Diceros bicornis minor: one gene and its partners. The protein of the gene in region 1 purifies or fractionates together with the protein of each later gene. This does not show direct contact. Links are inferred from orthologs where the notes say so. Each region holds a gene or a part of one and is shown on either strand. Other genes may lie near its edges.

Region 1 (7,390 bases):
TGTCATTCAGTTGGTACATTATCTTCAGATACTGCAAAAGCTATCGTATTATGATACAGTTTTCTTTACAAGGTAAAAATCCACCAGAAATCCACTTGAATTACAGAAAAACTTCAATGAAACTTAAAAGAACATCTCACCAGGAATTCTACTGGTCTTGCATATTTCATTGTGAGAGTAAAGATTTCTTCATTCAAACTGACTAAACTGCCAGTAAGACACAAGTTGTACCAAAAACATATTAAATTAGAAGGAATAGCTACAGATTAATGAAGTAACAAGTATGATTATTTTTCCACCATCACCTACAACCTAGAATAGTAAAGCTGGAGAAGATATAACTCGTCTGATTTAATTTTGCTATACTAACTTCATTTTAAATAAAATTCCTTATCATTAAGAAGATAATTCTTCAAACCAGAGCAGGAAAAGGATGCAAACAATTTATAACGCTCAAATATAACAACCAGCTTCTATAGCTCCCTAATTTAGTATCTGCCAAGTCACCTCTAGTCAAGAATTTGATCTATGTCAACTATATCTCAATAAAGCTGGAATAAATAAATAACAGAAAAACAAAAAAGGATTTTAATCTAGAACTGAAAAAAGAATGAGAAGGACTTCACATCTCAAGAGACAGTAACCACTTAAAGTCTTAGTGTGATCCCTATTCCTAGTCACATTGCAATGGTCAGTTCTGGCTATAAAGGCTGAAAATAAGAAATGAGAAAGAAATAGGCAAAATCACTTTCAATGCAAGAATGAAACTTGCAGAGGAGATTGAAATAAAGCAAAAAAGAGCTGGGGAAAAGTATCACTAAAAAGGATCATATTTGTTAGGTTTCTAACGAGGACTAAACGGGCAAATAAGACTGACAGAGAGCTGAACGAGGGCACCGGGTGACAAGGAACGAGCTGCTGGGGGGGGGGTATGTTACAGCTGGAATAGCAACTGGGGACAGGCCAATGTAGGGAGACAGTTGTAGGGCGTTTTTGTTGGTCATTTCCCTCTGTCGGTACTATGTGAACATGGTAGGTTACCTGAAAATCCCAGACTGCCTCAAACCCAACATGCCCATGAGGACCGGCCCAAAGGCAGCACCTTCATTGTTGAATGGACCACTGCCTCTTCCAGTCTATGCTTCCCCTACTTCCTGGTGCTTCTGCCACCTCCTTCACCTCACTTCCCAACCTCTGAGCCCTCAAGATTGACACAACTCGCGGATTCTAAAATTGCTCAACTTAGTATTGCACAGACTCTACGCGAAAGCTGTACAAAAGTAACAAAGACTCCGGAGGACCTGCGCTTACTCTTGGGTTGGGCCACCAGACGGCCAATTTGCCTCATTTCTGGGGACCTGAGTGTTGACACCCACCCCCCAAGGCGCAGGGGAGCTCCTTACCTGCATAGAAGCGGATGAGGCAGCCGATCTCCGAGTCCATGCCTTCCTCCTGCACCCTCCACAGCTCCCCAAACCCCAGCTGGAAGAGGTAGTCATTTTGGATCTGCAATGGCTTCTCGTCCGCCTCCAGGCGCCGGGTGGTCTCTCCGTGGAGCTGCACATAGAGGGTAGGCGGCGGCGGCGCCTTCTCTGCGGTGGCCCCTGTCCCACCCGGGGTCGACGGGGAGCGGCCAGGGGCTGCAGCTGCTGTCGCCTTCTCCTCCCGAGGCCGATCGCGGGCGGTCCCGGCGGGGCCGTCAACACCCCTCGGGGCTTTCGGCTGCGGCGGCGGCGGGGAGGCCGTCGGGGAAGGCGGCCGGGCGCCCGCTCCGGGCCGGGGCTGCACGGAGCGGCCGGGCAGGCGGGGCTGGACCGGAGACCCCATCGGGGCCGGGGCGGGGTCGGCCTCAAGCTCCTCGGACGACGACGAGGAGCCGCCGCCGCTGCTGTAGGGGTCCAGCTGGTCGGACACGCTCTCGGCGCTGGGGCTAAGGCTGAAGCTCTCGGTGTCCGAGGCCGGGCCCGCGGCCGCGCCGTCCAAGGCCCGCGGGGTGCCCGGCTCGCCGGGGCTGGAGTCCGAGGGCGCGGGGCTGGCGTGGGAGGCTCCGCGCGTCCACCCGGCCGGGCGGCCGCCGGGCAGCGGCAGGTCGGCGGGAGGCGCGCGCGGCGGGCCCCCGACAGCAGGCAGCCCGCTCCGCCCGGGCGGTGGCCCCAAGTCCCGCGGCTCGGCGGGCGCCAGCCGAGGGCCGGCGTCGGGGCGCGGCTCGGCGCCCAGCACCTTCACCACGCCGCCGCCTTTGTGGCCCAGCTGGAGCAGGCGGGCGGCCACCTCGCCGGCCGTGGTGTCCAGCGTGCAGAGCACCGGGCGCAGGTAGGTCGAGGCCATGTGACGGTCGAAGACGTGCACGCAGCCCCGCCGGAGCTGGTGCCTCACCCAGTCCCGGTCCGACGGCTGCAGCTGCAGCATCTGCCGGTGCTTCAGGAGCAGCGTCTTCCTGTCCAGGCTCCGGGTGCACAGCGACGCCGAGGCCGAGCAGGAGGCGGACAGGCCGGCGGCGCCCGGGGAGTGCGAGGCGGCCGAGGACGACGACGACGAGGACGACGACGACGAGGCGGCGGCGGCCACGGACAGATTCCTCTTCAGCCGCCCCCTCCTCAGCAGGAGGGAGTTGGCGCCGCCGCCGGCCCCCGGCCCCGGGGCAGCCCCGCCGGCGGTGGGCTGGGGCGCGCCGCGCCGCCTCCTGCGCCCCGCGCCTCCCGCCCTGCCCGGCAGCGGCCCCGGCTGCGCCTCGCCGGGGGCCTCTTCCCTCGCCCCGCCGCTCGGGGCCGCCGGGGTCAGCGCGGGCTCCGGGCTCCGGCCGCCGCCGGCCGCCGCCGCCAGAGCCGCCGCCGCCAGAGCCGCCGCGGCCGCTGCGGTCGCCGCCGGAGCCGGAGCCCGGTCCTCCCCGCTGGGCTCCGGGAGTCGCTGCGCCGTCGCCGCGGCGGCGGGCTCCATTGCAGTGGGGCTTCGCGTTTCCCCCCCAGCTCCGGAGGCAGCGGGCGGAGAGGGCGGCGGAGAGGCGAAGGTGGGAGACGGCGGCGGCGGCGGCGGCGCGGGGAGAAGGGAGAAGCCAATGGCGTTCGGCGCGGCCGTTCCAGGGGATTATGTGGCAATTCGGAGCATTCCGTCGGTGTCTCGGTGTTCCATCCCGCGCGCCCGCCCGCCGGCCTCGCCGCCCCGGTCGCGGGCTCCCGAGCGCAGGCCCCGCCCGCTCCCCCCACCTCACCCCGGCGAACCAGCCGCGAAGCTGGGCTTATTGAATATTAATCACGTGCTGGGAGCGGGAAAGCGGGAGGCAGGCGGGGCGGAGCTCCACGCAGGCCTCATGAATATGCATCGCGAGCATGACGGCATTCCAGGGAGGAGTGGGAAGAGCCGGAGGACGCGAGGAGGCGGGACTTCAGGGTAAACAAACGTTACGCGTGCGTACGAGGGAGGGGCGCGGGGCAGTTTCCCGGGAGGTTCCTGAACGGGCCTCAGAGAGGGGGCGACAGAGAAGAGAGGTGCGCGCGGTCCACCTTGGGAGTTGTAGTTCTAGTGCGCAGAGGGCATGCCTGAGGGAAAGACGGGGAACTACAAGCCCCAGAGATCCTTAGGTTACGCCCCTCCTTGCATCCAGCCGATGGCGGTGGACAGTGTGTACTGTGCCCTCTGCTGTTGAACTCTGTGCCCGGGAATGTTCTTGTTCATTAACTTGTAACCAACTCGCCCACTCCCCCTCCCCAGAAGACTTTCGTTTTTCCTGGTAATTGAAAGCGAGTGCTTTGAGGGACTGTAAGCGATACAAAGGTCTCCAGTCTTTGGTCCTTACCCCGACCCATTGTATGAGAGATAAATACACAGACAGCGCACCGCGGGATAACTGGCCGTCGAAGCGGACCAACCTCACCTTTCCCCCACTTTTTTAAGGCCTGGGAAGACAGGCAGTGTCTGGAAATTCTGACTTGGACCACTGTTGAATATGCTTGGTGGAAATCGTGCAACCCCGAGCCAATCCTCTCCCTCATATCGGAGAAGGAAAAAGGCAAAGGGCTGGGATGGCATTTTTCCCATTGATCTTAAAGTTTGAAGTAACTTAATGACACGGAAAGCAGTGGAAAGTGGAAGATACGTTGGAATGGAGACATGGTGGGATATGAGATGGCCTGGTCCTGTCTGTTCTCTTTTAGGTCTTCCCTTGTGTTTTGTTTCAGAAAAAAATTATTTTCTGCTACAATGTTTCGTTGTGGTCTGAAAAGTCGCTCTTTCTTGTCAGTTAAAACAATATTGTAGGCTAGACTAGGGTAGTTTACTATTTAAAAGAATTTAATAAGCCTTTTTCATTGAATTACCATTACCTCGACTTGTTGAAATGTGAAATTTTTCAACTGCATACTATCCAGGGCCTGTCTTAACTTAAAGTTCCTAAACTTGGGAGTGAGTGGGGGAGAAAGGGAAAAAGAGAGAGAGGGAAGAAAGGAAGGAGAGAGAAAGACAGAGAGATAAAGTGGAGCTTGTAACTGAAATAGAAATTGATAAAGGCAAGGCAAGTCATACTTAGGTTATCTACATAGTTTCATTGAAGAGGAATTGGAGGTAGCTGGTAGGACAAAAAAATAAATATTTCTCTTGATTCTTGAAATTTCTGAAAATGATTTTGTATATTTTTTTTTGAAGCCCTACTTCTTGGCCTCATGAAATTAATTTTTATTCCATCTCAATTCCATCAACAGCACAAAGTTCTATTTTTTAAATTCGGGAGAATGCAAATTCTCTCAAGAGAGATACGATAGTCGAGTCAATTAATTTAACAAATAATTATAAACATTTTATATACCAGTCACCATGTTACAACAGTTGAATAAATCAGACACTGTCCTTGCCTTCATAGAGTTTATAGATTAGGAAGAAAGACATTCAACAAGTGAGAGGGATGTAGGGGAGGGGAAAATAGAAGGTGCCATGGACAGAGACAAAAATAAAACAAGGGGAACTGACCTAGCCTAGGAAGTCAGACAACAGAGACCTAACTTTGGATGAAGTTTTCTGGAAGGAATGAAACTGAGTACTTGATGAAGAATTGGTCTCTGAAAGAAAGCAAAGAGGCAGAGAAAGAGGTAAGATATTAAAGATAAATTTCAACTACGCTAATCCGTATGTTGCCTTGAGTGGCCCCTAAACAAACTATTAGTTTTAGAAATGAAAAGAATGGTATTTTAATTTAGCCTTCCTTTAATAAGATTAAAAAACAAAGAGCATGTTAGATTTCGGTACTAAAACATGGGCTGTTTATATCTCTTTGTATTTGTTAGTTCCTTAATTGATTTCCTACAAACCTCTTTAATTTTTGCTATGTTAAGAAACATATATTGACTCCCAAATATCTGCTTTCTAGAGTTATATTTCTTTAGCTAATGTAACAAACTCAAGGAAAGTTTGTTCTTAATCATAAATACTGTCACCATTGGCCCAATGTCCATTTGCATCCTCTCTAAGAAATTATACTCCTGTACTTAATCTAGCCCTGGTTCCTGTCATTTAGCTTTACACAGTCACCATGACTCTGCCTGTTTATCCTCTAGGAATTTTGTTTACTCTTTGAAGGTATCTGTAACCAAAACACCTCCTCCAAAGGGGAAAAAAATTAAAGAAAAAGCATTGCTCAGAGAACTTAGTACCCGAAGTATTGGAGGGGGGAGGGGTTGGGGAGTCATCATACACACCTGTCAGACTTGGTACGGGGGATTTCTAAGTTGGGAGGAGGAGAGAAATAATTAATAATGGTAAAGTATCTCAACATGAAGAAAAATGAAATACATTCCAGCCTCAAAGGACAGTGTGTTGGGGGGCGGGGGGTAGGCAAGAAAGTAGAATATAATTTCTGCATAGAGAAACTATTTCATGCGTAGTGTCCATAATCTGAAAGACTCCATATTCCATTGTATCCAGAATAATAAAAATCAGAGTTGAGAGGAGAGCAGAAAAGCAAGGGTCCACTGTGAGATCATCCCTTGCTCCATCTTCAAATCTTTAATGAAATTACTAAACTTGGGCGTGAGAGGAGAGAGAGAAAGAAAATGAGAGTTCGTCAAGAATAGGCTAGTCCCCTTAACACCACATCAACTGGAACCTTGTAGTTGAAATAACAGATATTGATAAGGCCAGTGAAACTTGTACTAAGAACTTGCTAGTATTGTGGAACATCATCCAGACCATCTGAGTCAACCCACTATACAACTTCTCTGACTAAGAAAGGATTTCAGTAGAGGACAAATGTTTTCCAGACACTCATGAAACAGCAGCTTCTCCTACTTAAAAGTAGGGTGAGGAATAGGCTAGTATCCCGAAACCATGTAACTAGCTCATGAATGCCCCCACCCTTTGAAGTGTTCCAAATGTACAATCTAATACCACATTTCTGACTAGCCAGGCTTTCCAAAGAATCACATCTTAAAATGCTAAAAGATAATCCTGAAAAGAAACAACAGATGTAAAAGTTGCAAACCCTGATGCCAACTTGTTAAAATATTTTCACAGCTAAGTATAGAAAAAGAGAACATCATTTTCAATTTACTGCCACAGTTTATTTTATGCTGTGTGATTTATAACTGACTTGCTGTGTTTTGCATCTAGGTTAATCCTGTTTTCGTCCTTAGATCCAAGATAAAAGAAACTATCTTTGGAATTTTTTTCTAATATAAGCAGTCGGAATTTTAATGGAGACATAAATTGATAGCTGGGATGGTTTCAGTCTGAATTATTAAGGGCTCAGCTGTGTCCAGAAATAAACTCAGAAAGATGCAATATACAATGTAATACATTTAGTTAGTACATTATGAACAAGGAATCTAATTATAGTTTCACATTTTTGTATCCCTTGAGCTACTAGTGGTTTACCATGCCTAAATTGCTCACTATTTACTCATGCTTTTTTACTAGGAGGGACTCATTTAGCAAATTACTGCTCTAGTGTACTAAATGGGCCCCAGGTGGCCAAACTGAATTCATATGTTCCCTGCTCACTGCAGGATGAGACCTTCTGGGCTCTCTAAAGCCTTACCCCTCCCTCACATAACTTATCATTTGAACTCCATCAAGAACTTAGATTGCCACTATCATTTTAGGTAGTCTGCTTTATAGATACGGCTTGATAGCTTTTCATATTTTAGTGCACACTTTTTAATCCCATAATTCTTTGTCTTTTTCTTGTTTGTCACATCCTGTCTCACAGAAATAAATAGATGTATTCTATGTCACGACAATAAAGTATTAAACCAAGAAATAGAGACCATGTAATCCCACCATTTCTGGTAACAATGTAAATTACCAGGGACATTCATTTAACAGGTATTTATTGAACTTTTATGCATAGGCACCGTTTACACCCAGTAAATAGTATAGACAAAAATACCTCTTCTAAGGAAGCCTA
Region 2 (7,647 bases), on another chromosome or scaffold:
AATTATTTAGTAATTAACATTTACCTGTTCATCTTTCTGAGAAGGTCATCTCAAGTTTTAAAAAGAACATTTCCTCAACACAGCTGCTTCTTATCATGATCATCCTCCACACCACCAGTTTCTGATTCAGGTCTGCAGTGGGTCCTGAGAATTTGCATTTCTAACAAGTTCCCAGATGATGCTGCTGCAGCTGGTATGGGGACTGCACTTTTGAGAACCACTGTTCCACAGTACTAGACTAAGAGTCAGGAAACGTGTGACCTAAGGCTCCCATTCTGCCTCTAACTGGCAGTATACATCTCTATGACAGATCACCTGGATTTCTTGGGGTCTGTTTTCTTCTGTAAAACAGATGGGTAAGGAGTACTGGACTACAGGAGTCATAAGGACTTTCAGTAGACGGGGCGGGGGGGAGGGCGGGGGGGGTGGTGGTGGAGGTGGAGGGGGGAGCCGGGGGTGGTGTCCAAGAATTTGCATTTCTAATGAGTCCCCAGGTGATGCTGATACTACTGGTCCAAGAGCCACACTTTAAGAACCAAGGTACAGAAGCTAACCACATTCCTACTCTATGCAATTTCACTCCTAGTTATATACACCCAAAAGAAAGGAGTGCATGTGTTCACCAAAATACATGAGAAAATTCACAGTGGCTTTATTCATACTAGCTAATAACTAAAAATAACCCAAATATCCATTACTAGAATAGTGCTATATTTATAAAATGGAATACTATATAGTAACAGAACTACCATTTCACACAATAATATGGATGTACCTCACATAATGTTTAGAGCAAGACAGAGTACCCACACTCAACTAAGTACCTAGTTTATGATTCTGTTTATATGAAGTTCAATAACAAGCAAAACTAACAGATGGTGATGGAGGCCAGAATAGGGGTCACCTGGTGGGTAAGGGGAATTATTGGCTGGGAAGAGGCAAGAGGAAGCTCTGAGGATGGAAGTGTTCTATATCCAGCTGGGTGGTAAACACGTATGTAAAACTACAACTTCATTAGTTGCAGACTTAAGATTTGTGTTATTTACATCTATCATACTTCAAAAAACAAATTTAAAAAGTAAAATAAGTGAGATGGAAAGTAACAATGAAATTCATTACATTAATATCCTTTAAAAGCAACTTTCATATAAACTGTATTTTCAAAAGAGGAATTGGGCCTAAAAGGACCATAACAAACATAGATCCTGAAAACTAATAGCTGTCTAGCTGACGTAAAGAATTGTGGAGAGGGCTGGCCCCGTGGCTTAGCAGTTAAGTGCGCGCGCTCCGCTGCTGGCGGCCCGGGGTTCGGATCCCGGGCGCGCTCCGACGCACCGCTTCTCCGGCCATGCTGAGGCCACTTCCCACATACAGCAACTAGAAGGATGTGCACCTGTGACATACAACTATCTACTGGGGCTTTGGGGGAACAAATAACTAAATAAATAAAATTATTAAAAAAAAAAAAGAATTGTGAAGAAATTCTCAGTGCCTCCTGTAACATTATTCTAACACTGATCCCAGAAGCCTCACTAGGAAACATCACAGCACAACTGACTAACCAACGACTTTAACTGAAGGCCTAAATACCCAGATCCAAAAAACACACTGACCTAAAAGGCCCTACGGGACCTAGCCCCTGGTTTCCTCCACACCTCATCCATTACTCCTCTTTCATCCCACTCTAGTTAAATGTGCCTTTTTGCTGCTCCTTGTACAAGCCAACTTCATTCCTACCTCAGGATCTTTGCACTGGCTCTTCTTTCTGCCTGAAATGCTCTTTCCCCAGAGCTTCCGAACTCATTCCCTCATGTCTCTGCTCAAATGTCACCTCCTCAGAGAGACTCTACTACCCACGTGGCAAATTTCTTTTAGAAGTCATAACTAGGAAAATGGTTCTCTAACTCAAATTGCTAACCTTGCCTATATTAGATTGTAACAAGGAAACAAGGTTTCCTCTTTTCTGTGCTTCAAAGCAAGAAACCTCTGGCTACATCTTGTGACCCACTGCATCATGTATCCTCAGTTTAGATTCTCTTTATTACTTTTAATTAGTATTTTACTCTTGCTCTTATACTTTCCTTTACAGCTCTACAGCCTTTCACTGCACACAAAGTACTGTGTAAGTCAATTAAATACATAAAGGAGATTCTAATCCATAGCAATCAGTGCCTTGCACACAGCAACTTCCAAAATATTGTTTCGATGAATAAACAAATGAGTGCGTAATGAATAGTGACAGGACATCTGGAACTTTTCAGGGACATACGGGAAAAGGTTTTTGTTCCAGTAGTCTGAGTTCACACAGGCACTTAGCACAGCACCTGTACGTGAGAATGGCAAGAACGATGGTCAAATGAAAAACCGAATTAACAAGTATCATCAAGCCTAGATTTCACTTTTTCGTCGTCACAAATGCCATTTAAAAAAAAAGAAAAACCCTTTCAGGCCAACTATGGATGTCAACTATGCCCCCAAGAAACAGAGGTCTTTCTAAGAAGCTGCAAGGATGCAGGAAGGGTCTAGGAGTAAGAGGGGACAAGAAGAGGGATCTAGGGTAACGGGGCCACTGTGGGTCAGAGAAAGGAGAGGCGGAGGCTGTCAATATTAGGGCTGAGACACAGGGAAAACGGCAGCCCGAGTCCCAGAAAGGCAACGCTGGGAAGAGGCGGGGTCGGCCAGAACCCGTCGCGGCCGCGTTCCCCTAAGGAGGGTGGAGGAAGCTCAGACCGGCTCTCTCACCTCTAACGCCGCCTGGGGGTCCTCGTCGATCAGAGCATCTGAGAAGCTCCGGAAAAACCTGCCAGGAAAACAACGACTTCAGCACGGCTCACTAGCCGAGGAGAAAAAGGGGATAAAAATACACAGCAAAGAGAAGAAAAAGCACGCACCTCTGGGCTGTTGCAGGTCCTGCTGCAGCCGCCGCCATCCCTAACACTCACGGGTACTGCAGCTGGAGCTGCTACTACAGAGGTTAACAGCTTCGTCGCCGCCCAAGGAGGAAACTTCTGGAGAAACACCAACCGCGCTTCCGTCCTAAGCAGCCAACGAGCAGCCACACAGTGTACCGCGGCGGAAGGGGAGGCGAAAAGCAGGCGCGGGGCCGGCTGGGACGGTGGAGGACCAAGTCTCCCGGCCCGGCCCCCGGTCTCGTGACCAGCGCTCCCAGTTCCCGCCCCTCGCAGCCATGGTTACGGAGGCCTCCGCTGTTCACGTTCCCTCCTCTTCGCGCGTCCGCCCTCCCACAGAGCCTTCCGAGGGAATAGCTCAAAAGCGCATTTGGAACGTATTGTTATCCCTCTGGAACGTGTGGCGTTTGGTGCGTTTGTGTGCCAGCTAATAGCACAAGGCACGTAGAGCTCCATTTTCACCACAGTGCACATCATGGCGACCAGAGGCAGCCAAGCCTTTCGTGACCCGTGACGTCATTCGCTGCTACGTATTCTTTTGCGGGAGCACAGTTGCGGATTGCGCGCCGATCCGGGATCTTTGCGCTGGGACCCATAAGGGACTAGGACTCGCCGGAAGTCATTTTGCCTTTGCAGAAACTAGCCAGAAGGAAGCCTTTTGGTTCCGGGGCGGGTGTACTGTTTTATTGCCCAGAACGCCACAGGACCAGATGGACTGATTTTGCTTCCCAGTTGACTTCCCAGATAGAAAAGAAAAACCTGTACCATCCCAAGGCGCTGAAGGGAGGAAGGTGGCCTGAAGTTGTCTGAGTGCTGCTTTCCTTTCCAACCTAGTCGGTCAGGCCCTCCTTCACCGCCCTTTTATCCATGCAGATCAAATAGAAGCTTCCAGCAGATTCCCTGGGACGGACGTGGAAGAACAGAAGGGAGTGGGAGTAAGCGGCTCGGTCAGTAGAGATAAACAAGTAAATGAACTTGAGTGTCTGCTATGTCCAAAATCTAAACTAAGCCCAGGGATTCAAAGAGGTTAATGCCCTCCAGAAACTTAAACCAGTTCTAACTGCTAAAATGAAAAAAGGGGAATAGTCACGTGATGGCAAGGAGGGTACCCCTTGCTAAATTAGCCCAATATAAGGTATAGGGATGAATTCCTCAAAGATATGATACCTGAGCCTCAGCCTGGAAGGATGAACTAGAATTAGTGAAGGAAATGGAAAAGGCATTGCAGGCAGAACAGGGTGTGAGTTAGAAAACGATAATGGGAACTCTAAAATTGGTAGAGCCAAAATTCATATTGGAAGCAGACTGGCTGGAGAGGTAGGTAAATGCCACGTCATAAAGGGCTAGGTGTGGTCTGGTCTGCTGAGAAGCTTGGATGTTATTCTCTGAGTTATGCTAACCCATTAAAGGATTTTTAATCACCAAAGGCAATAAGTCAAATTTGCATTTTTTAAGTATATTATTCTCTCTGTGCTATGGAAGAATGATTAAAGGGAAAAGGAGAGTAGTTGTTGAGAGACAACGGCTGTATTACAGGCCAAAGTGACTCTCTTAAATAGGTCAGGGATACAGAGGAAGGTAAGAATTACAGAAATATTTGAAGTAAAAGTATCTGGGTTTGCTGATCCTTTGTTTTTTAATGATCAGTGCTTTTTGTATCATTTATAATGAGGCTTTGCCTATTCGAAGGCCATGAAGATATTCTTACGTATTTTCTCCTAGATGCTTTATTATTTTATCTTTCAACTCCAGGTCTGTGATTTATCTCAAATTAATTTTTGTGAAAGTATGAGGTTGGGATCAAGGTTCATTTTTCCTCTGTATGGATATGCAGTTGACCCAGCCCTACTTATTGGGGAAAAAAAAGACAGTGAGTTGAAGCCTTGTCATTGTCTACGTCACACAGCTGGGCTTGCCTTGGAGCCCTGCCCCTCGCTGGGTCCTGCTCCTGCTCTCCCGACCCTGCGTGGCCCCCATTCATCCTCCGTGGCGGCCATCAACATCCCCTTGTCGGTTAGGTGAGACTTAAGCGTGTTGAAGATGTGGAGCTGCTGATCTGGCAGCAAGGTCAGGAACTGCTGAATCAGCTTGCTCGGATTCGGGCCCCTGATAAAACTGGCGATGTACACATTGACAAAGGTGGCCATCAGATACTGGCAGTCAAAGCGATCCATGATGCCTCCATGGCCAGGAATGGTGTTGGCAAAGTCTTTGATTTATCATTTCCTCCCATAAATTCTTATGGCTCCTTTGTTGTAAAGTAGGTGACCACATATATGTGGGTCTATTTCCAGGTTCTCACTCCACTGGTCTGTGTCTAACCTTGTAACGGTACCATACTGTCTTAATTAACATAGCTTTATAATGAGTCTTGAAGTCCTGTAACTTTTTGTTTGTTTTTGTGAGGAAGATTGGCCCTGAGCTAACATCTGTTGCCAATCCTCCTCTTTTTGCTTGAGGAAGATTGTCACTGAGCTAACATCTGTGCCAATCTTCCCCTATTTTGTATAAGCAGCATGGCTTGATGAGCGGTGCATAGGTCCACGCCCAGGCTCTGAACCTATGAACCCTGGGCCACCCAAGCGCAGTGCACGAACTTAACCGCTACACCACCGGCTGGCCCCAAGTCCTGTAACTTCTTCACGAGTGCCTTGGCTATTCTAAGTGTTTTGCATTTTCAATATTTTATACATTTTATAAAATTTATTTCAATTTATAAGTTTTAGAATGAGCTTGTCAATTTCCAACAAAAAAACAAAACCCTGCCAAGATTTTAATCAGGCTTGCATTGGATCTATAGATCTATTTGGGGAGGCCGGCCCCATGGCTTAGCGGTTAAGTGCACGCGCTCCGCTACTGGCGGCCTGGGTTCGGATCCTGGGCGCACACCAACGCACCGCTTATCCAGCCATGCTGAGGCCAGTCCCACATACAGCAACTAGAAGAATGTGCAACTATGACATACAACTATCTACTGGGGCTTTGGGGAAAAAAAAGGAGGAGAATTGGCAATAGATGTTAGCTCAGAGCTGGTCTTCCTCAGCAAAAAAAAGGAGGATTAGCATGGATGTTAGCTCAGGGCTGATCTTTCTCACAAAAAAAAGATCTATTTGGGGAAAACTGACGTCTTAATATTGAGTCCTCCAATCCATGAATATTATACACTCCTCCATTTATTTAAGTGGTCTTTAATTTCTTTCAGCAGTGTTTTGTAGATTGCACTGTAGAGGTCTTACATATCTTTCATTAGATCTATTCTTGGGTATTTAATTTTTTTATGCTATTTTAAACGACATTTAAAAATTTTTATACTCTACTTGTTTGTTGCTAGTATATAGAAACACTACTGATTTTTACATATTGACCTTATATTCAGCCATCTTGCTGAATTCCCTTATTTCTAATACTTTGTAGATTCTTTTAGAATTTCTATGATCACAATTTTGTCATCTGAATAAAGATGGTTTAATGTATTCCTGTGCAATGATTATACCTTTTCTTTCTTTTTCTTGCTGTCTGTCACTGGCTAGGATGTCTACTATAGTGTTGAATAGAAGTAATGATAATGGACTTCCTGTCTTGGTTGTAACATCAGGAGAAAACAATATGAAATGCTTTTTCTTTATTTAGTGAAATATTCATATTTATTTTTTCTTTAATATGTTAATGTTCTCCAAATGGCCAATATGCATCTGAAAAGAAATTCTACATCAATAGCTATACAGGGATATTAAAATCATAATTCATAATCATAACACTCCCACCAGAATGGTTAAATTAAAAGGAATTCCACTACCAATCATTGGCAAGGATATGGAGCAAGAACCTATAACTTTCATATATTGTTGGGGGAAGTATAAATTGGTATAACTACTTGAGAAAATTTTTTGACACTATCTGTTAAAGCTAGTCATACAAATACTCTCTTACCCAATACTTCTACCATTGGATGTGTACCCAAGAGAAAAGAGTACTTATGTTCATATACAAGAATATTGATTGCAGCATTATTCACAGTAGCAAAAACTGGAAATAACCTAAATGTCCTTTCATAGGAGAAAGATACTACAGAGCAGTGATTAAGAAAGAACTACCAGTACACACAACAATATGGACGAACTAATCTGTGCAGAAATAGAAGTATAATGATGTACACCTGAAATTTATACAGTTATAAACCAATGTTACCACAATAAAAAAGGAAAAGAAAAAAAAAATGGATGAAACTTACAAAGAAAATGTTGAGTTAAAGAAGCCAGACAGTATATTTTGATTGATTCCATTTATATAAAGATAAAAAAACTATTTTGAGGGACATCAGAGGGTGATCATGTGGCTGGGAAGGGCCATGCGGAGCTTTCTTGCATGTGGGAAACGTTACATATCTTGATCTGAGCGGTAATTAGACCAATGTATTCAGATGTAAAATTTTATCAAGTTGTACACTTAAGATTTGTGCACTTTATGCATCAATAAAATAGGAAGGGGAAAATTTAAAACAAAATCAGCAACAATCAGAATTTGAAATTTAAAAAACCATGACATTTACAATAGCATCAAAAATATTAAACACTGAAAAATAAATCTGATAAAGTATGTGCAAAATGTATACATTGAAAATTACAAAGCATTGCTGAGAGAAATTAAAGAAAACCTAAACAAATGGAATGGCACTCTATGTTCATGAATCAGAAGAGTCAATATTGTTAAGATATCAGTTCTCAAATGGATCTATCGC
Region 3 (7,543 bases), on another chromosome or scaffold:
AATTGCATGACCAGAATGGATCATGCTTGTATCCAAGGTTGTCCGTGCGTTCTACACTTTATGTCTCTCTCTCTCTGTTCTCTTCTTTTCACAGAAGAAAGGGGTGGCTAATGATAGCATCTGAAAAGGTGTCCCCTTCTCAAGTTAAGCTCAGCAACTTCTGAACTTGTTCCAAACAGCTGAATGATTGCATCCTCCTCCCCAGCAAGTGGGTAGTCTCCTCTAGTCAGACCTTGCTAAATAAAGAGCTAAGTACACATAGAAAGTATTCTGGCTTACTTCGGCACTCACCAGAAGTCAAGGTTTTCTCCCCAGTTATAGACCTGTTAGTTTGATGTCTCCTTGAAATTCTCTGCCATGTTTAGTCTGAACAAATTGCAGGACTGGGAATCCAAATTAAGATTATGAAGAACGAGGAACAGGTTTTAAGGTAGGCTGATACTACCATTTATTAGTGATGGGGATATGACAGTAGAGATCCCAGAGACCATGAGCTTTGCTGGTGTCACTGTGGGTCACAATGCCCCCTTAACATTCCACACTCTTCTCCAAACTCCCTGCAACATGCCTGTGCTGCAGCCTTAGACATATTCCAGGCTTCCTCAGTGTCTGTGCGTGACTTTCCCTCTGCCCCAGAGACCACTGCCTTCCCCTCCCCCATCACTGTTCATCCTATTCTTCCAGTTGGTGAAGCTGCCCTCAGCTTGTCCCCCCTGCAGGTAGAGCTAGTCCCACCCCACTTAGAGCTGACAGCAGTTGGTCCTTCATTTTATCAGCTCATTTTCCATAAAAATCATCTGTCTACCCCAATGGACTGTGTGCTCCCTGAGGGCAAAGATTTTTCTTATTCATCAGTAGGTGATCAACAGATACTTGTTTTAATGAACGAACTCAGATTTCAGTTTTAAACAGAGTATAATATGGCTATGCCTTTGGTCCTTCTCTTTTAAACCTAGATTTAAATAATGACAAAGTTTTAGATATATTAGCTATACACCATCCTCCCCAGCAAATCAAAGTCATACATCCATTGTGCAGATGACTCGACTATCCTCTGAACGGGAAGTCAGCCTTGAAAAGTCAATCACTGGTCTGTTGATTCAAACCAACAGAAGAACATCACTGTGTTGATTAACATCTACCTCTGGACAGCTGGATGATGTTAATTAAAGCCACCAAGAAGGTTGGTTCATTCAGCTGTCAAAGGGCAGGGGAAAGAAGGGGAGAGATCATGAGTTTCACAGTCAGAGTGTGTGAGTGTGGACCGTGCTCTGCACAGGCTGAGCAGCGTCATGGTGAAAGTGGTAAAATGAGCATGGATGATGGAGCTCCAGGGGCACTGGAAGGTTACATTAGAGAACGCATCTGAAGTACTAATTAGGTGCCTGGCACACAGCAGAGGCTCATTCAATCTGAGGGCATAAACTGACAGCCTGAGGGCTGTGTTTGCCCACTCTGACTTTAAAACTGTTGACTTTGGCCATTCAGAGCTCTCCAGTTTGTGTTGAGTGATGGGCACTATTCTAAACACACCTCCATGTTTTATCCTCGTTACACCCCTCTGAGGTAGACATAATCATTACCTTTATTTTCCAGATGAGGAAACTGAGACAAAGAAATACTATTTGAGTATATTTTATAGCTAAAATCTGCATGTGGGTCCCTAAGGAGTCAGTGCCTCTCAACCTCATCCCACTAGAATCAAAATGAGGTACTTGAACACGAGCTGGTATAGCAGAGTGGATGCAAGTGTGGCCTCTGGAGCTAGGTTCAAATCCTGGTTCCATCGCTTACTAGTTGTGCAACCTTGGGTAAGTTATCTCTGTGCCTTTTCTCACCTAGAAAATGGGGAAATACGTCACTGGGTTGTTATGAGGACTTCATAAAATGCTTGGTGCACAGACAAGTCCTCAATAAGCACTACCTGTCATTATGGATGTCTTACGCCCCCGCCCCACACTCCCCCCAACCCCCACAACACAGGCATTTCAGTCATTTCTGTTAGCTGGTACAAAACCGAATTCCTTCAGGGAGAAGAGAGGTGGCAGAAACACAAGAAGTGACGTGTGGTTAACGGGAGACAGGATGAGTAACAGAAAACATGAAGCGGCCTGCGAGGAACTGGACAGTACAGGATTGTGTAAAAGTATTCAAATGAATCAATTTTAAAACAGTAGGCTGACCGAATGGATTAAGCTTGGCCCCAGTTTGTTTACTTCCTCAGTCCATGAAGTTATCTGAGTATATTTTGTAGTTTACCCACTCAGGAAGGCCCAAAAGAAGTCAGTTGTACACAAACCCATCTTTCCCTAGGCACAATGAAGTTCTTTGTAAAACTGATACAGTTGCAGGTAAAAGCTGTGTTCTAAGCCCAGATGACCTATTCCCAGCTCTGGGTGCAAAATGTGGTGTTGCAGCCAAACCTTATCTTCAACTGCATTACATATGGTAAAACCCCCAGTACAGTGCCCAGCACACAGAGGAATCTCTCTTACGCTCATGCCTCTTCAGTCAACCTTAGGCTCAGGACACGAGGCATTGTGAGGTTCTGCAATTAGGATCTCACCTGCAAAGTTAGACAGCTATAACACCAACTAGACACAATTCCAGATAATTCTATTAGAAATCCATTTTAAATAGGACTCATTCTTCTATAAACTTATGTGTGAAGCTGGTGGCCTCTGTTCCTGTGACTTTTTAGGATTCACAGACAAGGAGGCATGTTGGTGGGCAGCATAGACGGAGGCAGGGCTCAAATTCTGGCACATTAGACCTGTTTGCTGGAACAGAATAGCAAGTGGGGAGGACAGGATGACAACAGACATTTATCCAAGTAGGTGAGACAGATAGGATCCAGGGCCGTGGTGACACTGGTATGGGGCCCAGGCAGGCTCTGGAGATCTAAGCAGGATGGAACACAGCAAGAAAGAACTCAGGTGGGTGATACTTCTAAGTCTAGGGAGGGCAACAGGGAGGCAAGCACTCCATACAGCTGAATGTGTGGCAGTGAAGCACATGGTCCTAGCCACCCGCTTGGGTATCAGGGCAAAGAGGGAGGGCCCCAGCTTCCGTGGAGGCAGGTGCCTGGAGAACCAGGACAGCTGCTCTGGGACTTGGCTATATTCTATTTGCAATTTTTTTCCCCAAGCAAGCTTATAATGGAAATCACTATGGAAACAGCATTCATGTACCAGAAATCTATTTTTCACCTAAATTTTATTTGAATGCTGTGTTTTGTTTTTTGAATGCTTTGAATCTGTGAGGTAAGGCATATCTGATTTTGGAGCTTTGTCTGAATTCAGGCCCTCAGCCCCACTGAAATGGTGGAACTCCAAAAAGCACCCCATCATTACAGTTCACCAATTGAGAAATACCACAAGCTTTCTAACATAATAATTTATAAAGTTATTCTACTAGCTTGAACGACTTTCTCAAACAGGAAGAAATCAAGCTAAGCTGCCTGACACAAAGAGCAGGGTGCAATGAAGAATTTTACAAACCTCGAAAAGAGGGGCTATCCCACTAGCTAACACTGGGTTAAGACTTTCTCACAGTACGTTTTTCTCACTTGCGAGACTTCTTGTCTCTGGTAATATCATCGTCACTGCTGAGTGCAAATCTTCCCTATTTTGCAACTCAACTTTAAGAACAAATATACTTAGATACTCTATTTATAAACATTTTCTAAATTTATGGCCAAAAGGCAGGCGGGAAGGCAGCTTCGTCCCTCTGCTCCATTACTTACCTTTCTTCTTAATTCAAAGAGCTAAACATACATAGTTTCTTATCTCTTTCATTTTTATTCTATTAATTTGACTTTCGCCGTTATGGTGTTTTGACCCAGGTGATTCACCCAACATATGTAAACAGAAACCACTTTACATTTTAAGTGTTTGGGACATTGCATTACCCGGGTTATTTTAACCTATTTTAACCATATAGAAGCAGGTTTCTTTCCACCGCTCCCAGAATTATCCAGACCATGGTCTCCGTTTTCGTTTCGAAGTGGGGACTAGCTGTCCCCGCGCCTTCGGCAGAGGCTGCGGGTCAGTCCCTTCCAGCATTGAACCAGACGGCTGCCGCCTACCCTGCAGCGACTGGAGCCTCCCCCGGGGCCCCTCTCGCAGCCAGGGCTGAGTCGGCCCACGGGCTCTAGGACCGCGAGGGACGCGGGCAGGAGGCGGCGCCCGCCGAGCCCCCGCCCCGCTCGAGCTCGGAGTGGGGCGGGCGCCGGAGTTTCCCGGCTCGCGCGCTCCAGGGCCGGGGCGGCGTGCGCAGGGGTGGGCGGGGCCGCGGGGCCGCGCGGCCGGTGGGCGGGGCGCGCCGCGGGGCCGCGCCGCTGCCGGGCAGGCCGGGCATTAGGGCCCCGGCGGAGCCCGCTCCCCAGCGCGCTGGGCGGAGTGTGCGGCGGGCGGCTTCGCGGGCAGGCGCGGGCCCCGAGGCAGCGGCTGCGCCCTGCGCCGGGGAGGAGCCAGGGGCGGGCGGCCGGCAGGCGGGGGCTGGGGCCCGGGGCGGGGAGTGCCGGAGCGCCGGGGGTGACGACGGCAGCGGCGGCAGAGCAGGCTCGGTGCGCGGGTCCGCGGCGGCTCGGGGTCCGCCCGCGGGCTGCGGTGCGAGCGGGCGGCCCGGCTCCCCTCCTCCCCCGCCCGCTGCCGCCGCTGTGATTGGGTGGAAGATGGCGCTGGGCGGATGGAAATCCTAATGACAGTCTCCAAATTCGCCTCCATCTGTACCATGGTAGGTGCGTCGGGAGGGCGGCCGGGGACGGCCGGGACCCCCGCGGGCGGGCGGCCGGCCGGCCCGGCGGCGCAGCCCGGGTCTCCGCCCGTCCGCCGGGCCGCCCGCGGGGCCTAGCGCGGGGCCCCGCGGCCCGGGCGGGGGGCGGCGAGGCGGGCGGGGGCGGTTGGACGGCGGCGGGCGGGCGGGGAGCGCGGGGGATGAGCGGCCCCGGGAAGGGGCCAGGCGTAGGCGAGCCGGCGCGGCGCGAGGGTGACTAGCGAGGGGGTGGCCGTGCTGGACGTGGCGGGGGCGGGCACGGGGCCAGCGCCCCCGGCCGAGCGGAGAGGCGCGGCGCCCGGGGGCTGGAGCGCGGCCCGGGCTGGGGTCGGAGGGGGAAGGACGCGGGCGGCGCGCTGTCCATTTCCGTCCGGCGGTGCGCCAGGCGGGAGGGGTCCCTGGGCCGGGATGGGGGCTGCCGGCCGGAGGCAGGGTCTCGTTCCTGCCCAGGAGAGGACGGAAGTCAAGTGCACATTTTCTCCCCGCGCCTCTGGCGAGGCCGAGTCCCCCACCCGCTGCTGAGGGGAAGGGGGTGTGTGTGAAGGTGGAAACTTTAAATAAGTGCTGTTGAAATTTTTCCCATCTTCTACTCTTTCTCAGAGGAACGAGCTCTCCCTTTTCCAGCCATGTGTCCAGGTGGCAGTCTTGTCTTTGGGAATCCACGTTAATCTTGTAAAACAGCTTAAGCTTTCCTGTCGTTTGTTTACTTTAATACCCCAGCCACATCTCTGTGTGGCTTAAAGTATTTCTGTGCAGGAACTGACTGCGAGGGTTATTGTGTGTGTTTTATTGGGGCTTTTAAATAGACTTTAAGGGAAAAGTGCTAATGCCTGTCGAAAAGTTCCGATTTAAGCAAAACGTGCGTGCGTTTCAATCTTGGTGTTTTTGTGCTTGGCCGGAAGGACCACAGTCTTCCACACGATGGGGCAAATTCGTTTCGTTAGCTCCTTAATGAGCTTACGTCTAGGGATCATAATTATGAGCCGTCACAGAAGAAAGTTATCCTTTGCAACGTGGGCCTAGTGATTATGCTATTAAAGACTTCTGAAATCTTTCCTTCTGTTTTATGTCTTACTAGCCCTTTTTATGCACCCGATTGCATGTAGGAGATCCCCAAGCAATCTTCGGTTTAAGGGCGGTACATTTTATGTATCTTTATATGCGTATATATACATTTATATACCTATATATACATTTTATATACTTTAAGGAGTGGTGAATCAGATCGGAAAGATGGTTTAGAAGCAAATTCTGTACTGCACGCAGAGGGACAGTATAAAAAATGGCTGAAATCAGGTGGGGTTAAAATCTACAGTATTAAATCATATTGAATGGATCATTGAAGACTTCCATTTTCCCAAATGGATGTTTGTTTTTTTTCTCACAATTTGCATTTCAGGAAAGCATTGATATTAAAGGGACTATATTAAAAAGATTGCCAAGGTTCATTTGGATTATTTTTAGATAAGCCAATTATTAATCTGTTTTAAAAGGAATGTGATAATTAAGTCTTTGAAAGTGCTGATCTTGCCAGATTGCTGAGCTGCACAGATTGTCAGGTCATAGTTCACTGTGGGAGTCTGGGGTTTCAGGAGTGATGTGTCGTTCTTTACTGACCAGTCTTCCACTCCAGTATGTCAGGTATACTTTTAGCACCTACTGAGTGCTAGAGCCTGTGCTGAGGATACAGCAGAGATCAGGACAGCCCTTGCTTTCATGGTGTGTACATTCTAGTTGAGGGAGACAAACAATATTCAAGTAAACTTATTAATAAATATAATATGTGCTGTGATCAGATTAGGAAAATGAGGCACAGAGAGATTTGCTAAGTCAGACACTGAGTAAGTGGGGTTCTGATCTCGAGAGTGTCGGACTCCAAAGCTCTTCCTTGGGCTTCCACTCAGGTGCGTTAATTGTATGTGGTGTGTGTGTATTGTTGGCAAATACAGAAATATCTGCCTGGCCAAATGAGATTGTTCCAGAAGTAGTGTTAAAATTGGGTGTGTCTATATTCATATTCAAATAAATTCTAATGTGCTCCCAAAATAATGCTAAACATCTCAAAGTAATGTGCAGTCTTTTCTTTCAAGAAAACTGCAGCTCATCTGAGAATTACAAAATTAACAATCAAGAAAAGCAAAGATATTTACCTCCAAGCCTTGGTAGATGCTATTTTTCTAGGCTGTGAGCGCCCCCCTCACCCTTGTCTGGCGAGTTCATGCCTCTGTCTCAAGCAGGGAGACTGACCTGAATAATCCCACCCTGTCCATCCCCATCTTCCACCCCCCTCATAGAATTTCACAGCATTTTTGTAATTTTGGTAGCTCTTAATCATACTTACTGTGTTGTAAATTTTTCTCTTATCGCCTTATTGGATTCTGAAGGCATTAAGGGGAATGACTATCGTTTATTTCTGCGGTTTGGTGGAGCACTAACTACTGCATACAATAACAGAGTTTCCCAGAGTTCTTCATTCTCCTCCTGGCTATCTGAGGGAAGTGAGTTTGGTTAAGCATGGATGAGATGGAGTGGAGAGGAGAGAAGAGGGCTGAGCCTAAATAGAGTGATGCTTCTCAGAGAATCAGCAGCTGTGAAAGCGTGGATGATGAATTGGAATTAATCAAGTTTACATAATTTTTTTTCATTTGTCAACGTAAGGTACGTGGGCAAATCAGCGATATCTTTATTGGGTTGAGTAACTCTGTTCAAGGCAAATCTCTTCAGATATGTCTTATTCTAGATCACTGTTGTTCTGCTTACGTGTGAA
Region 4 (7,947 bases), on another chromosome or scaffold:
GTAAATATTAGGAGATTACACGTGGGACCTCATCCACTTGAGTCGCACAGCAGAGTGCCTATCTGCTGAACAGGCAGCTAGTGGAAACTCCAAAGAGACCCAACTATGGGTGGCATAAAAAACTCCGTTTGGTTCTGACTTCTTTTCAGTCACCGAAGGATTTATTTGCATCAAAAGCATTTCTTATTTTTATTTTAAATATAATTTGCAATTGTACACCCCAACAGGTCTGGTAATTCATATACTAGGTATGACTACAAAGCTTAAACATCTCAGGTAACTGTCAAGTCTTCTGAACCAAAAAACATCACCTATTTCTTCACCCTTACACAAAATGTGTTGCACTACAATCAAGTTTAAACTGAAAAGTAACTCTAGTCAATAAATATTTCTCCAGGTTAGTCTAACTGGCTGAGCCCAATGGAACTGAGTTCACGTCATGGGTGAGATGCCCGTGGGGAAGCACAGTTCTGCTGTTTCTGCTGCACACTGCTAGACCGGTCACACTAGCGTGTGCTCTCTCCTTGTCTCTGTGGACTATCAGGTCAGTGTCTAGAGATACCAATCCAAGTCCACGGTTTCTTGACTGATGCGGAGTCTAAAACGTACAGAAATAAAGTTAGATACATACATTTCAGATCCTCTATATTCAGAAGCTTTTTCTTCATTTTCTTGAGAATCTGTGAAATCCAAGGCTCTCTTAGTTTCCTTTTTCTGAAAAAACTTCAAGGAAAGTCTGTTTTTCTTTGAGGGACTTCCTCTTGAAAGCCCATTACTCTCACTGGGTATGACACCAGGCATCTTCTCTTCAAATCCCAAGGAGTTGACAAGAATTAATTTATGCAGGGATGTTGTAATCAACAATCATATCTGTTAATCACAGAGAAGACCTTTCATTAGTTTTCAGTTATCAGCTGTAGGCAAAAAAATCAATATTGAAAACAAATTTACCAACGAATGTTACTAACTAGATCTTCATGTTTGAAAACTTAGTGCCTGGCAGTAATAGGCACTCAATGTTTACTGCTTAAATGAAGGAGCTTGCCCTTTGTCTTTAACTTTCTTAAACAACAAAAAATATCAGATACTGAACTTTGATTAGCCTATTAGATTAAGGGTCACATCACAAAATACCCCATTTTTGTAAACCTGCAATAAAGTAGTAGTATTTAGTAAAAACTCAACTTTTATTATAATTAATTCATTCAGAAAATATTAACAAGCAAGTACCATCGCTAATTCTAAAGTAGGAGGTGCAGGGGCCCGCCCGGTGGTGCAGGCAGTTAAGTTCTTGTGCTCCGCTGCAGCGGCCGGGGGTTCACAGGTTCAGATCCCAGGCGCACAGAGAGACAGCGCTTGTCAGGCCATGCTGTGGCAGCGTCCCATACAAAGTGGAGGAAGATGGGCACGGATGTTAGCCCAGGGCCAGTCTTCCTCAGCAAAAAAAAAAGAGGAGGAGGATTGGCATTGGATGTGAGCTCACGGCTGATCTTCCTCACAAAAAATAATAAAGTAGGAGGTGGAGACAGACAAATGAATGGGAAATCAAAGGAGTGCTGAAAGTCCTCCTTCTAGACCTTTCCTCCTTGATAATATGAATACATGAAATGAAATCTCTAAAAACTTCAAAGTGTAACTTGCATACAAAAAAGACACAGATCTGGTGTTCAGTGGTACCTAAAAACTTGAGTGGAAAGTAGTAAAGCGTCAGCTGGGATGGCGGTGTAAAAAACTGCTGCACTTTGTGCATATGCACTAGAAACCACAATACACTGATTTTCCAAACATTTCTTTAAACTACAGATTTAAAAAAATATATTGCTTTGAATAGAGAAAAAGATAATTTAGTTTGCCTGTTGCAACCTTTCTTTCCTGCTTTAGAGTAAGAAACTTCTGGACGGAGGGAAAAAATGGCAGTCTCGGCGGTAGTTATTCTACACCGCGCTGCTATTCTTCCGTTAGGAAGTCGGGGCCAACGAGCCGAGCGGCGTTTCACCAGCGGCTCACTCAGAGCCCCAAGCTCGGCGGACGCAGAGCCGCCCGAAGGGCCGCCGCCCGGGGCACGCGCGACCCGGGCTCGGCTCGGGGCAGCGGCGCGCTGACCGACGCCCTCCCTCCGCGAGTGCGGGCGGCGGCCCGGCCCGCGGTGCCGGGGCCCAGCGTGCGCGCGGCCGCCTCACGACGACGGGAACGGGGTCGTCCGCGGACGGCAGCGGAACGGGCACGCGGGGGCGACCCAGCAGCCCAGACGGCCGGCCGCCGCCCCTCCTCGCCGCCCCGCTCCCCGGAAGCAGGGGCCGCCCCAGCACGGCCCGCCGCCCCGCCCGCCCGCCCGCCGCGGCTCCTCGGCCGCGCCGCCCGGCCCGAGGCGTTACCGCACAGCCCGCTCCGGGGCCCACGGCGCGCGCCCACACGTGGCGTCCCGCGAACTTCCAGGACAGCCGCGGCGACGGCGAGCAGCGCCGGCCGGGACGCCCGAGCGCCCGCCGGGGACCCCGGGCCCTCACCTGGGCGCGGCCCACGCAGGTGCGCGGCGGGGTCCGCGGGGAGCCCGACCGGGAGGCCGGCCGCACCGTGCGCACGGGAGGCCGCTCGGGCCGCCTACATCCCGGCCGCCACCGCCGCCGCCGGGTCCCGGGTCCGCGCCCCGCCGACGGGAACTTGGCGCGTTTTCCTCCGTCAGGACCCCGCGCCGCCGCCCCCGCCGCGCCCCGAGGGGCGGCCTGCCCGCGCGCCGGCTCCGCCGCCCGCGCCGCGCCCACGCCGGACGCCGGGGCCGCCCCGCGCCCGCCAATCGCGCCCCGGGCACGCGCGGACGGCGGGGCCGAGGGGGACGCCGCGCTCCCCCGGCCGCCCCCGGGCTCCGCGCCACCGCGCCGCGCAGGCAGCGCCGCGGGCAGCCGCGGGTCCTCCGAGGGCGCGCCGCCGCTCCGGCCGTGCGGGCGGGCTCGAGCTCACGCCCTGCGCTGTTTTTCTTCCACTTTAACCATTCGTGCGCGCGAGGCGAGGACGGCGTACGGGTCGGGAGACGGGACAGAGGCACGCTGGGCCGGGCCGCTCGCTCGGGAGGAGCCGCCCGGCGCTCAAATCCACCAATCCGTGGTGACGAGCCCCCAAGCCCGGCCCCCCTGCCTGGTAGGAGCCAATCAGAAGTAACGAGGCGGAAGCCAATTGGGTGGCGGGGAAGGAAGTCCAGCCAATAACAAGAGGGGAAAGGACGGGCGCGCTTCCCCTCTTCCAGCTCTCATTGGCGCTCGAGGGCGCGCTTTCGCTGCCGGCGTTCAGTCCCGCTTCCGGGTGAGGCCTTCGCCGTTGGCCCCGCCCCTTTCTCGTCCGCTCGTGGGCGGGGCTGCGGGGCGAGACTGGGAGGACGGCGGCACGCCGCCGGGCGCTCGCGCTTTCCTAGGAGCTCGCGCCGCGGGGCCACACGTAAAAACGGGCACGCTGCCGGCCGAGCACCGCAGGGCGGGGCCCCCGCCTCCGCCCTCATCGTGTCCCCGTCCCCGCCGGCGCGGACATGGGCGCCGGGGCCGCTCTCCTCAGAGCGCCGTCCGGTCCGCGCTCGCGGCGCCCGCTGGGGCCGGGCGTCCCCGAGGCCGGGGACGCGGCGAGAGGGCGTGCGTCCGCCGCCCGCGGGGGCGGAGCGTGCAGGCAGCGCTTGGCCGCGGTCACACGTCGGAGCGCGGGGAGCGCGCCCCCTCAGATACCCGCGTCCCCCAGGCCGCGCCGCTCCCCCGGGCGCACCGGAGCGGGGCTCAGGAGCGCAGCGGCTCGTGGCGTCCGAGCGGATGGTCCGGCCACGTCCTCACGCTCGACGCTCGGCTTTGGGAGGAGCAGGCCTGGTGCTGGGGCTCCCGTGAGCTAGGTGCGCGCGTCCCGGGGCCCGGGGTCTAGGTGCGCGGGGCCCAGGGTACGGGTTCTAGGTGTGCGCGTCCCGGGGCAGGAGGTCTAGGTGCGCGCGTCCCGGGGCCCGGGGTCTAGGTTCGGGGGCACGGGGGTCTAGGTGTGCGCGTACTGGGGCAGGAGGTCTAGGTGCGCGGGGCACGGGGCGCGGTGAGCTAGGAGTGAGAATGTGCCGTTGAGAATGCGGCGGGGAGAGAGATGGGAGTCCTGGGTGGCTTTGAGGTAGAGAGTGATAGTTGTCAAGTGGCTGCTGTGGTGGGTAGACTGTGGACCTTAAAAAGTGCCACCCACGGACTAAATCATGGTGGCTTGGAATGAGGTGGCAGCAGGGGAAATGTTGGAAACTGGTGGGATTCAGAATGTGTTTTAAATAGACCCAACAGGACCTGCTGATGGATTGTAGAAAAAAAGATAAAAATGACAAGGATTTTTTTTTCTTTTACCAAAGCACCTGGGTAGCAGTTGGTCCTTGCTAAAATGGGGAACACTGGGGTAGTCGTGGCTTTGGTGGGAGGGGCTGTTGTTTTTAGACATTAAGATTGAGATGCCTATTTCACATGCAAATAGTGACGTGGAGCCAGGAGATAGCAAGTTTCAAGCTCAGTGGAGAATTTAGATCAGGGGATGTAAATTGGGGAGTCATGAAATGGTGTGTAAAATCATGAGACTGTAAGAAATCACGTAGAGTGATAATATTTATGCTCCAGAGTCTGCAGGGCATTGAGACCTCTTGCCTTGTCAAGCCACGAATCATAAATCCAAATAACTGCTCCTTAATTTGTCCATCTTAGAATCAATATCCATGCCAAATACCCATTGTAAGAGTGAGACTTATAAAGCTCCTGATCACACCATGACACGCACAGCGATCTGTAAGCTGCCTAAAGAGAAAATCCTGCTATCATTTGGTAAAATAGGCTCAAAACTCGTTTTTTTACCATACTTTCAAGGGATTGATAATTCCTATTTGAGAGCAAAATAGAAAGCTTATTTTGAGACCAGTACAGTGTTGATACCCCAAACAGACAAGGGCAGAATTAGAAATATAATGATAGTCAGTCCCCGAGTTTGCCATTGTGTACCACGGACTGGAGTGTCTTCTTCTGTAGTCCTAGCAGAGTCATTGCCGTTTTCAGACTCTGCCAGGACAGGTAACCAATTCTAGTTTCCTATTCTAGCTTTCCTGTCTCAGTTGAGATCCTGTTGTCTGCAGCTGCTATTCTTCCTGTACGATTTATAGTGTCAGTTGAGGTTCAGTTACAGAGAATAGAAACCATTCCCTTGGTATCGGCATGAAGAGTAGTGAATGCTTAGTTAGGAATGTGGATTAAATAGACCTAAGATTCGATTTTCAGGAATGAGGCCACCAAGGGAGCAGTGACCCTTCTGCGATCAGGAAATGATGACTTCTGAACTATGCTGTTCCGGCAGTGCCCAGGAAACCACGACCGTCAGAAAGCTGCACGCTCCACCCACTGCGATCTACACCCGCACGATGCGTGTGCTGCGTCCTGCCTGTCAGGGCCACGGGCCCAGTGGCGGGGCACTGAGACTCCTGCTTGTGCTGCTTCAGAAATAACCAGCTCCACACGGCTGGGCGCAGCAGCAGCGGTAGCACAGGGATGCATGTCAGGCTTGCTGTGTCTCCGGCAACGTAATTCATGCAAAAAGTTAAAAGGTTTCTGATCCTTTGCTTTCGCTCAGTTCTGTGTGGGGGAAGTTAGGGCTACAGTCTTGACCAAATACAGTCTTTAAGCCCAAAGACCTGACCTTTCATTTCCTGGCATCTGTGTGCTGCTACCTCACTCGTGATGACCGCTCACTTGGGGGCGTCTGCACAAGGGGTCTAACAGGCTGGCAGCATTCTTACTCCGTATTTCTCAGCCGTGTGTGGCTGCGTGTCAGGCGTATTTCCTTCCAAGGCTTTTGTTCACAGATGCTGTTTCTGCGTGCTTCAATTTAGAGGTGTAGAAGTAGCTGGGTTTTTTCAGCCATTTAAGGCTCCAGATTATGGGATTCTTCATCCACTTAGATTACAGACAGAGTTCCCCTCTTAGCAAAGCTGTATTCCTTTCCATCCTTACTTGCAGATCAGCTAGCTCTGGCCTGAGTTCATCTCTCATAGAACTTTGCTAAAAGTGGCAAGAAAAAGCCACCAAATACCAAGTTTATAAATTTTTCCAATTATTTCCCTTCATGCCACAAATACCTTGCCGCTGGACAACAAGGGTCACCAGTTTTCCATCTTGCCATATCTGAGTCCTTACCACCCACTGCCCAAATGCTTCCACTAAGCCACGACCACATTTCTTTTAAGGTTGTGTTATATGCAGCACAAATTTATAGGGATCAAGTTCTGCATCAGATAGGAATAGGTTGATTTATGAGAAGCAGAATATTTTTTTAAGTGTCCTTAGCCGAGATGAACATTTATTTGTCACATAGAGTGCAGAGATAGGAGTCTAGATGAGTATAGTGATTCCGTGACCATCAGGGACCTAATTACTACCTCCATTCTCAACAAGTAGCTTCTACCTTATGGTCCAGTATGGCTGCTTAAGTTCCAGCCATCATGTCTACATTCTAATAAGCAGGAAAGAGAAAAGGAAAAAGATCACGCCGCCTCCCTTTAAGGATACTTCCTGGAAGTTGTGAACCCCATTCTTGCTTATAACCCATGGGTCAGAGCGAGGTCATTTTGTTAACAGACTGTTAACTTGATTCTGGGTCCCCATATGTCCAATTAGAGGTCGTCAAGGAAGAAAGATAGAACGGATATTAGGGGGCAGATAGCATTCTCTGCTATGCTTCCCCTTACCTGATTAAAAGATTTGCCTAGCTGGGGGAGCAGAAGATAAAAAAAGGACTAAGTAGGTCTTTTGGTTTTTTGGGAAAGAGAATGTGCTGGCTATTTCTGTTTCCCTAGTAGCAGATATGGAGATGTGCTGCCCAGATCACCCTTCAGGGAAGGACTTGTTCCCAAGCTGCAGGGTGTGCCTCCAGCTGTCAGCTCCTCAGGGTCTTGCCCAAGGTCATGCCTGTCCAGGGAAGCCTACACCGGGTGATTCAGCAAGCCTGGGATATAAAGGCTCAGCCGCTCTGGCCTGCCACCGGGCGCCTCCGATATGCTGTGTTCACTCCAGAGCTCCTGGGCAGTCGGCCAAAGCCTTGTTGGACCTGTGCTGGAATTTGACTTCGTTCTCTGCGCAGTCCTGCTTCCTCTCCCTTCCTCATCTTGTATGCTCTGTTCCAGCGTCTGCTTCCTGAAAACCCTCCCTGCCACAGCTGGTACCGGGGTTGGTTGGAGAAAGCGGGCATAAGCTGGGAGCTGGATTATGGGCCACCTGGCTGGCTGTAGGTGAGGCACCGACAGCCCCTGGCACGAGGTGGTGGTCCGATTCAGATGGTGTGCCGGGTGGGAGGGAACACTAGAGTTGTGATGTATCAGGCTCTTGAGATGTGTGGCAGTAACAGCGATAAGGGAATAGAATTGGATGGCTATTGCTGAGCGCCACTGGTTACAGAAGAATAATGAACAGCTGAGGGTGGGTGATAGGCAACTGCTGGTCAGGTGTGAAAGCCAGAGCACCTCTGTCGCTCACAGAAGCTCTCATCAGCAGGGAGAGGGAGAACGCCGAGCACCAAGACCAGAGCTTCAGAGTGGTTGAAAGACACTCTGCCCCAAATGGCAGGTTTTTGTGCCAAAGTGAGGGCCATGGTTGAGAAGATCTAGCATTCTGAGACATGGAGGGGACATCTGGGTGGTGCTCCTGAAGAGTTTGATTCCTCGGGCCCCTTGGATGCCTGCAGTGTGGCTCGCCCCTCCCCACTAAGAGCTTCACTTTCCCATGCTGGAAGATTGTGCAGAGGCTTCTAACGAAGGCAACATGTTCTCTCCCCTAGCAGCCACACCCCCTCCACCAGCTTTCTGGCCACTGGGCCTGTAATTAGGGTTACGTCATGGCATAACCCAGTTGGGAGGTGCTGTGCCTGATGATGGAGGTCAAGGACTATTCCCCAAAGAAGGTGCAAGACCTAGCCAGC

Evidence for each region.
Region 2: the proteins of PHLPP1 (region 1) and SUGT1 purify together in Homo sapiens (affinity purification with mass spectrometry; 5 studies listed by BioGRID and IntAct, with this or other methods). This does not show direct contact. The link is inferred for Diceros bicornis minor from reciprocal best matches to the Homo sapiens genes PHLPP1 and SUGT1.
Region 3: the proteins of PHLPP1 (region 1) and USP12 purify together in Homo sapiens (affinity purification with mass spectrometry; 4 studies listed by BioGRID and IntAct, with this or other methods). This does not show direct contact. The link is inferred for Diceros bicornis minor from reciprocal best matches to the Homo sapiens genes PHLPP1 and USP12.
Region 4: the proteins of PHLPP1 (region 1) and USP1 purify together in Homo sapiens (affinity purification with mass spectrometry; 6 studies listed by BioGRID and IntAct, counting the BioPlex papers as one, with this or other methods). This does not show direct contact. The link is inferred for Diceros bicornis minor from reciprocal best matches to the Homo sapiens genes PHLPP1 and USP1.

What each region holds. Positions count from the first base shown.
Region 1 is NC_080755.1:53,316,414-53,323,803, reverse strand, and holds the start of PHLPP1 (PH domain leucine-rich repeat-containing protein phosphatase 1), read right to left. Parts: upstream 3,009-7,390; 5' UTR 2,938-3,008; coding exon 1,404-2,937; intron 1-1,403. UniProt on the Homo sapiens protein: Protein phosphatase involved in regulation of Akt and PKC signaling.
Region 2 is NC_080748.1:35,358,501-35,366,147, reverse strand, and holds the start of SUGT1 (protein SGT1 homolog), read right to left. Parts: upstream 3,006-7,647; 5' UTR 2,930-3,005; coding exon 2,892-2,929; intron 2,801-2,891; coding exon 2,743-2,800; intron 1-2,742. UniProt on the Homo sapiens protein: May play a role in ubiquitination and subsequent proteasomal degradation of target proteins.
Region 3 is NC_080748.1:10,498,882-10,506,424, reverse strand, and holds the start of USP12 (ubiquitin carboxyl-terminal hydrolase 12), read left to right. Parts: upstream 1-4,543; 5' UTR 4,544-4,689; coding exon 4,690-4,737; intron 4,738-7,543. UniProt on the Homo sapiens protein: Deubiquitinating enzyme that plays various roles in the regulation of the immune response and inflammation.
Region 4 is NC_080743.1:1,996,185-2,004,131, reverse strand, and holds the start of USP1 (ubiquitin carboxyl-terminal hydrolase 1), read right to left. Parts: upstream 3,018-7,947; 5' UTR 2,508-3,017; intron 1,419-2,507; exon of another isoform or gene 1,231-1,418; intron 871-1,230; 5' UTR 802-870; coding exon 632-801; intron 1-631. UniProt on the Homo sapiens protein: Negative regulator of DNA damage repair which specifically deubiquitinates monoubiquitinated FANCD2. Also involved in PCNA-mediated translesion synthesis (TLS) by deubiquitinating monoubiquitinated PCNA.